Linked DNA regions of Caenorhabditis elegans. The protein of the gene in region 1 interacts with the protein of each later gene in a biochemical or structural test. Each region holds a gene or a part of one and is shown on either strand. Other genes may lie near its edges.

Evidence for each region.
Region 2: of the proteins of fem-2 (region 1) and unc-43, one has a biochemical effect on the other in vitro, tested with the Caenorhabditis elegans proteins (one study listed by BioGRID).

The regions. Positions count from the first base shown.
Region 1 is NC_003281.10:632,769-636,692, reverse strand, and holds the start of fem-2 (Protein phosphatase fem-2), read left to right. Parts: upstream 1-2,066; 5' UTR 2,067-2,120; coding exon 2,121-2,159; intron 2,160-2,213; coding exon 2,214-2,553; intron 2,554-2,964; coding exon 2,965-3,161; intron 3,162-3,211; coding exon 3,212-3,821; intron 3,822-3,924. Other genes in the region: eakr-4 (EAK-4 Related), read left to right, coding at 526-651, 1,000-1,098, 1,153-1,212, 1,273-1,395, 1,453-1,800. UniProt on the Caenorhabditis elegans protein: Dephosphorylates auto-phosphorylated Ca(2+)/calmodulin-dependent protein kinase unc-43/CAMKII in vitro. Involved in the regulation of sex determination.
Region 2 is NC_003282.8:10,348,393-10,352,316, forward strand, and holds the start of unc-43 (Calcium/calmodulin-dependent protein kinase type II), read right to left. Parts: upstream 1,826-3,924; coding exon 1,801-1,825; intron 580-1,800; exon of another isoform or gene 574-579; coding exon 493-573; intron 1-492. Other genes in the region: Y43C5B.2 (Tyrosine-protein kinase), read right to left, coding at 3,053-3,589, 3,638-3,815, 3,868-3,890. UniProt on the Caenorhabditis elegans protein: Acts in the signaling of a variety of pathways and processes. Phosphorylates 'Ser-319' of daf-16 in response to stress signals, such as heat, starvation and oxidation, which plays a role in prolonging lifespan.

The DNA.
Region 1 (3,924 bases):
TTTTTTTGTTGCTTTTTTGCTCTTTTGCACTCAAAATGTGCAGACATTTTTGAGTGTTTTTCTTTTTTTCCCCTCCACACACCCGAGAATTCTTTTTGGATCTCAAATTGTTATCATCAACGTTCCCATGTTTTTTCCCAGTTACCAAAAACTTTTTGTGTCAGGTTTTCAGAAATCATTATTGCTTTTAAATGAAAAGTGTTAATCTTACAAATTTTTGAGAAAAACAATTTGGAAAAAAACCCCAGGAACATGATTTGAAGGCTAGAAAACTAATTCTCTAAGTTTCCCCGGCTCGAAAAAAATTCGTTCAATATTTATTTTCCATCACTTTGCATAATTTACAGTACTCACCAGGCCAGCGAAATTCATGAAATTGTACAATTTTCTTGTTGTTTTTCCAACAAAATTTAAAAATAACCCGGACTAGTCGAAAACAAGGCAGTCGTGGGGTACTGTAAATTAGGCGGCCTACCAAGTTGAGCCTTCGCCAAGTAATCCTCTATTTCCCTGTCACAACCGATAATGGGGCAATGTCTTGGAACCCTGTGCACTGTAGATTCAGCTACAGATAATATTTCCAGCGTCTATCAGCTGGCAGGCCCAGTTGCGGTGAAAGAGAGCCCACGTATTGCTGAACGGGACCCAAAGGTAATATTTTTCGTTTTTTTTTCAGAGTCTTATGTTTTCAATCTTTTTTGCTGAGAAACCTTCGAAAAAAAAAACAAATCTAAGCTTAAGTCTAAACCTAAGCCTATGCCTGGAGACACAAGCCTAAGCCTACGCATAAGCCTAGGCCTAAACCTAAGCCTACACCTAAGCTTAAGCCTAAAGGTTAGCCTAAGACTAAGCTCACACCTAAGCCTAAGACTCAGCCAAAGCCTAAGACTCAGCCTAGGCCTCAGCCAAAGCCTACGCCTAAGTCTATGCCAATTTCTAAGTCTATGCCTTTGACAATACCTAAACGTATGCCTATACCTAAGCTCAAGAAATTTTCAGGTCAAAATCTCTGTGAATCCCGAGGAGGAAAATGTTGAACGCCCCTGTGTACTTTACTCGAAAAGTAACGAGATTATCAAAAAACCGGATATTTTTGAGGTGAGAATATTCTTAATCACGGGCACGGATTTTCTCAAATTTATAAATTTTTAGGAAATCTACAAGCGCACACCGATCACCCTCTCGAATAACGGTAGAATTGACGTTGCCGAGGTTTTTTAAACATATTTTTTTCAAAATTACATTTATCAAGAACTGAATTAATGAATTCAGCTTCCCGCCGGACAACGAGTCATTGAAGTAGAGAACAACGAGGTTCGCGACAAGTATAAAAAAACGTTGTACGAGATTCGGAGAAAATGCAGGGAACTTCAGAATTTGGGTGCTGAGGATGAGGTAGGCGGCCTTCAATGGCGTTTGAGTTAACTCAAGAAAAATCTGCGATTTTTCCAGGAAACCGGTGAAATCATCGATACTCTTCTTATTCTTTACAAGGACTTCTTCTTACTAACCACGTGGAAAATCGATAAGTACGCCCAGTTGAGAAAAAATGCCGCAGTTCAAGCTTACAACTCGCTACCCAAGCTTAGAGCCGACCCCGCTGAATTCCGATGCCACGTGGAGTTTCAGTATCGCGTGGCAAATGAGCTATGGGAGCATTTCAAGGAGACATATATCCACAAATATGAAGCATGTAATTGGGCGGAGAGGGCGAAAGTGAAGGAATGGGATCTTTTGGACAGCCAAGTACAGACGCCGAATGTGGAGTGGGATTATCTTGGCGCGCATGGATATATATGAATAATTGATTTTTATTTTAAATTTTTGATCCATTTTTGATTTGATAAAAATGTTATTAATACAATACAATGCGAATTAAATTAATATTTCGCGCGAGAAACGCGCCAACGCACCGAAAGTGCGCAAACGAGAAGCTTTGCGCGTTTCTGGTGCAGAAAATTCTGCATTATTTTTTTGTTGATTTTTCCTCATTTTGTGTTGAAATCCATTGTTTTTTCTCGGTTTTTCTCTGATTTTTATGTTAAAAACAATTATTGAAATGTCAGATCAACCCAGCTGTCCCACCGAAGCCGGTAGTGGTTTTAAAACTGGAAAAATACATGGAAAAAGTAAACGAGGAGCGGGATGCGGTTTTCGAGGTAGAAAACGGGATTTTATATATTTAATGCTAGTTAGAAAAATGTATATTCCAGGATCACATCGGCGATCGCCGTCGAAGTGTCCGGTCACTTCTGGAGGAGGCATTTGCAGATGAAATGGAGAAAACTAGCTATGACGTCGAGGTTGCCGACACTCCACAACCGCATATTCCAATACGTTTCCGTCATCCACCAATCGCCGGACCAGTTCATGATGTTTTCGGAGACGCGATTCACGACATTTTCCAGAAAATGATGAAAAGAGGCCAGGCGGTCGACTTTTGTCACTGGGTGTCTCACTTGATCGCCACAGAAATTGACGAGAAATTCAGTGAAGTTGCGTTCAGAGATGTTCAGTATAATCCTGATATTTATGTTACCGATAGTACCACAGGTAATTATTAAATGTGCAAAATCTGCTATTAATTTAGCAGACCAAGCATGGGCCTGCTAAATATTCAGCAGGCCTATCCCCATTGGTCTGCTAAATATTTAGCATACCTAACTTGGGTCTGCTAAATATTTAGCAGACCCATCCCCATTGGTCTGCTAATTATTTAGCAGACCAACTATGGGTCTGCTAATTATTTAGCAGACCACCTATGGGTCTGCTAAATATTTAGCATACCTACCATGAGTCTGCTAAATATTTAGCAGACCTATCCTCATTGGTCTGCTAAATATTTTTAGCTGGCCATTCCCCATTGATCTGCTAATTTTTGCAAAAATAAAACTTGTTAAATAGAATTTTTAAAAAATCTTCAAAAACTCAACACTTCTGTTCATCAATACAACTTATTTTCAGAAGCCAAAAAGCTATTCAACGACAAAATTTGGCCGGCGATCGACAAGATTCTCCAGCAAAACGCCGAAACGTGCCCGATTCTGTCTGAAAAGTGGTCTGGAATCCACGTGTCGGGCGATCAACTGAAAGGGCAACGTCACAAGCAAGAAGATCGGTTTTTGGCGTATCCTAATGGGCAATATATGGATCGTGGAGAGGTTTAGGAGGATTTTAGGCCTGGAAAATTACTGAAAAATGAAATTTTTAGGATCCAATTTCGGTGTTAGCGGTGTTCGATGGTCACGGTGGTCACGAGTGCTCTCAGTACGCAGCCGGGCACCTTTGGGAGACATGGTTGGAGGTTCGAAAATCGCGAGATCCTTCAGATAGCCTCGAAGATCAGCTTCGCAAGTCGCTGGAGCTTCTCGACGAACGAATGACTGTCAGAAGTGTGAAAGAGTGTTGGAAGGGTGGAAGTACAGCTGTCTGCTGTGCAATCGACATGGATCAGAAGCTTATGGCGCTGGCGTGGCTCGGTGACTCACCCGGATACGTCATGTCGAACATTGAATTCCGTCAGTTGACACGTGGACACTCGCCATCCGATGAACGGGAAGCTCGGCGTGTTGAGGAAGCTGGCGGCCAGCTTTTTGTGATTGGAGGCGAATTGCGGGTGAACGGAGTTCTAAATCTCACCCGAGCACTCGGAGATGTTCCTGGACGGCCGATGATCTCTAATGAACCGGAAACGTGTCAGGTGCCTATTGAAAGCTCGGATTATCTGGTGCTCCTGGCTTGTGATGGAATTTCTGATGTTTTCAACGAGCGTGACCTGTACCAGTTGGTGGAGGCATTTGCGAATGATTATCCTGTTGAAGGTTAATAAAAATTCTTGGAGAAAAACTAAATTTCCAAAGCCAAAAACTATTTTTTCGTTTTTTTTTTCTGAAAAAAAATCAGAAGATTGGCTATTTTTCGGGG
Region 2 (3,924 bases), on another chromosome or scaffold:
TTCGATCTGAAACTTCATGAAAGAATAATCGTTTTTCTTTCATTTTTATTCAAGATATACACATGAGCATTTGGCAAAAATCGAACGAAAATCGGTGAACTAATTGCAAGATTTTTTCATTAAATTTGACGCTTTTCGAGCTCAAAAAAATATTGCGATTTAGAGAGTATGACGACCACGGTAAATTTGCAGAATTTGCCGAGTTTGCCAAACTCGGAAAATTTCAAAATTTGCCGCACACCGCCTCTACAGTTGTTAAACTCTAGCGTGAATAAAGTATGGAATTCATAGAGTTTTTTGATCGACTTCCAAAATTATTATAGATAAAAACTGAGTCCACTTTTTGACTGTAAATTCAAAATTTTTAAAACAAATTAAAAATGTATTTAAAAAATAAAAATTTACGCATATTTATTATCTTAAGTTGCTAAATTTGTAACAAAATTTTTCTAAAATGCTTTGAAAACATTTGAAAGATTGAAAAATGAATACCTTTTGAAAGATTGGCAATGCCTGTAACTGCCGGATGTTCCCTGAACGTGTCTGATTGATTGTTCTGATCTATATTGACCTCTGAAAGAAAATATGGATTAATATTATTAAATTCTTTGAAGAAGAAATGAAAATGAAAAAAAAATGTTATGTGTCGCCTGGCTTCGACTGACGACGACGACGATCGAATTCTCAAATTTCAACGGACGAATTGTTGGCACACATAGACACTTACAAAATGTCAGGTCGACTTTTGTTAATTTTTGAGTATTCTTTGAACTTTTGGAATTCAGAAGTCAGAATATATTGTAAAGGAAAAGGATGAATCAGAAAGTAAGATTTAGATTGACTTTTGAGTGTTGTGCTTGTCTCTGGCTAATGGGTTAATTGCAAGAGAGGTCAATTTCCAATCTTCAGAGTTCATTCGTTTTGGAACTGACCTATTCGATTTTAATGTAGCTTATTTTTCACCAAAAAAACCTGTTTTCTTGGCAACAAACATGGAAAACTTATAGGCTACAGCAACTCTGAACTACTAAGGAATCACAGCACTTTTGATGAAATATGCAAGAAAATCATTTTTTCTAATCAATTTTCCTATTAATTTCACAAAACAATCGAGTGGCAAGGAGGGAACTTAAAAAATCAAGTTTTGAAGTTTTGAAATTTCCCACACATGTAGATCTCAACTCGAATAATATAGTTAGACTAATATCTAATTGAGTTCTAAACTCTAGTTTGAGACTAGACAATGTTTTAATACAAAATTTCATAGTAAACCTTTTCAAAAACTGGCAGTCGTTAAAAAAACCTTTTTCTTTTGAAATTTTGACACTCTACCAAAACTTTGAGTAAAAATGATTAGAGTGTTTAGTAATTATAATATTTGGCCATGTTTACAAAATTCTAAATTCTTACAGGCATTACTCTAAAAATTAGAAATGAAAAATATAGATAAGAAGGTACGAGGTAGGTGAAGGCATGTAGGTAAAAATTTTCGGGACTATGTTAACGGCTTATTGAATAATAGTCTCGTAGTCGAAAATAAACTTTTCTTATTCAAAAAAATCAATAAGGAATTCCAGTTTTCAGTGTGAATGTACCCCGCATTTCTTATCTTACAAATTAAAAAAAAGTTTCATGATATAAATTTTGTGTTCTAATCTGCAGAACAAAGAATGCAAACAAATTATGTTCGATGTTATCTAACTTTTTTTTGTTATTTCTACCAATCAATCTCAGTCAACATGAATCATATATATTTTCAATTGTTAGAAGATAGGAATATTAAAATAGAAACAATCTAACCTGAATTTGTGGAAGAATTGCTCATTCAATCAATAATTTATAGTTTGAAAGTTGATAGATAGGTACAATGACAGTAACTACTAATCAATTAGAATCAATTTAATTTCACTCTTCAATTTCTCAACTTTCGTACGAGTAGGTCTCGGTGTGTTTTCTCTATGTTTCTCTAGTTTTTCTGTGTTTTTTGTGTCCTATGCTACAAAATTGACTACGATAACAAAACTTTGATTTTGAAAAGAGAGAAAAAAGAAGGCGAAACGTACGTAAAATGCCTTTTTTCAAAAGAAAAATAAATGGAAGACGAGAAACTGGTTTCTAGACAGTGCGGGGCGATGATGTGTTGAATTTTGACTAATTATCGGATTATTCTGAGTTTAAATTTTCATTTCTCCGTATAAAACTTTGGTTTTGGATTCTTGCATATTTTTTCATTTATCAAAAAAAATTCCCAAAAAGCAGTGAACTTTTTAAAGGATTCAGACATGGTGAATCTGATCTATTCAAAAAACTGTGTTTTAATTGAAGACACAAACCATTAAATAAAAAAATTTTGTAATTCATTTCTTGGTATTGTTTTCGAAAAACGCTTAAAAAACGCTTCGAAAGAGCTTGTGAGTCTGAAAATGTTCTTCTGAAATATCGTTGCCACAGACTCATAGGCGTCTTCTTTAGAAATAATCTATGTATACTTTCAAATTTTTTTAAAGTTTTGTACACTTAGTCCAACATAATTGAATATCATTATTAAACGCTCCTAACGCCATTTAAATCTTTACAACTTTCAGTCAAAATTTGGTAAATTGCCAAAACTTCAACAACAAAGTCTTGTTATTTTGAGAATTTTTGCTGGTTCGAACCTGAAAAATTTTCAAAAAAAAAAGTTGATTAGAACGTAAATAATAAATTTTGTAAAAAATTAGTAAGTGAAAACTCTACTTGCGGTATTAAGCCTTTTCCAGTTTGTGATGCTTCATCTTCAAATCTAACTCTGAATTGCATATATCTGCAGTCAAAATCTTCCAAAATGCGTTTTTTTAATTCAAAATAGTACAAAATTAATTAATTATATTTTTCAACAGCTCTGAGATTCGAGAGGAAAACTATTTTAGATTATGTCCTAAATACAAGTTGCACAAAGCTTCGACTGAATCTTAAAAATTATTTTTGATGTTCGAAAACACAACGAGGTTGTTGGAAAAATATTTAAATAAAACTGAAATTTCAAATTATCAACTGTTCATAAAACTTTCCTTTATTCAAGAAAAACGCGTAGCTCATTGAGCACTGAGAGCCAATTCACAGACATACACACAAAAAAAGGCGTTGCGCAACGCAATTTTCTGTGACATTTAGCAAGAAACTCGTTCAGTGACCGACATAGTGCAACGTTAACTCTTCTACGGGGCACACCATAAAAGCGAACGACATGGGGATGTGAAAGTGAACGCATCACACGAGCTTCACCCATGAACTCTTTGATCTGCTCCTTTGTGAGATTCGAGAGCTTCGCCTGCTTGATCGCCACTTGAACTGACTTTCCTCCTTTCCGAAACTTCATCGTTCCCATCATCACTTCTCCAAATGCACCTTCTCCCAGCTTCTTCAGAGGCTCGATATTGTCGTGGTCCAGCTCCCAAGCTTGACGTGAGATTGCCTTGATGAGAAACACATCTTTTTGAACCGATTCCTTCTTAGTCAAGTGCCACTCCACCATTTCTGGGATTGACAAGAATGATACTTTTTCGATGAAGATCTTATCGCCTTTGGTTTTGATCACATAGTGTTTGATCTGAAATTAAAAAATACTTGAAAATAAAGTCTAAAACTATTTAATTACCTCTTCTTCCATTGGAGGAACGCAGTGCATCACACTCAGGATGTTACTTCTTGGTGATCCAGCTTGAGGCTCCGAGATGCGAATCACGAAATCTCCATTATTTTTCAAAACGGTTTTGACGTCTTCGCGGGGCAGGAACCCATGATAGTACGGCTCCTTTTCGATAGACGGTCGCTGCCTGAAATGATACTTCATTGAAGAGGGAAACCACGAGAATCACAAAAACTTACATGCTTGCTGTTCCACTTGCCATTTTTCAATGAACCGAGAGTTGTTTGAATTTAAAT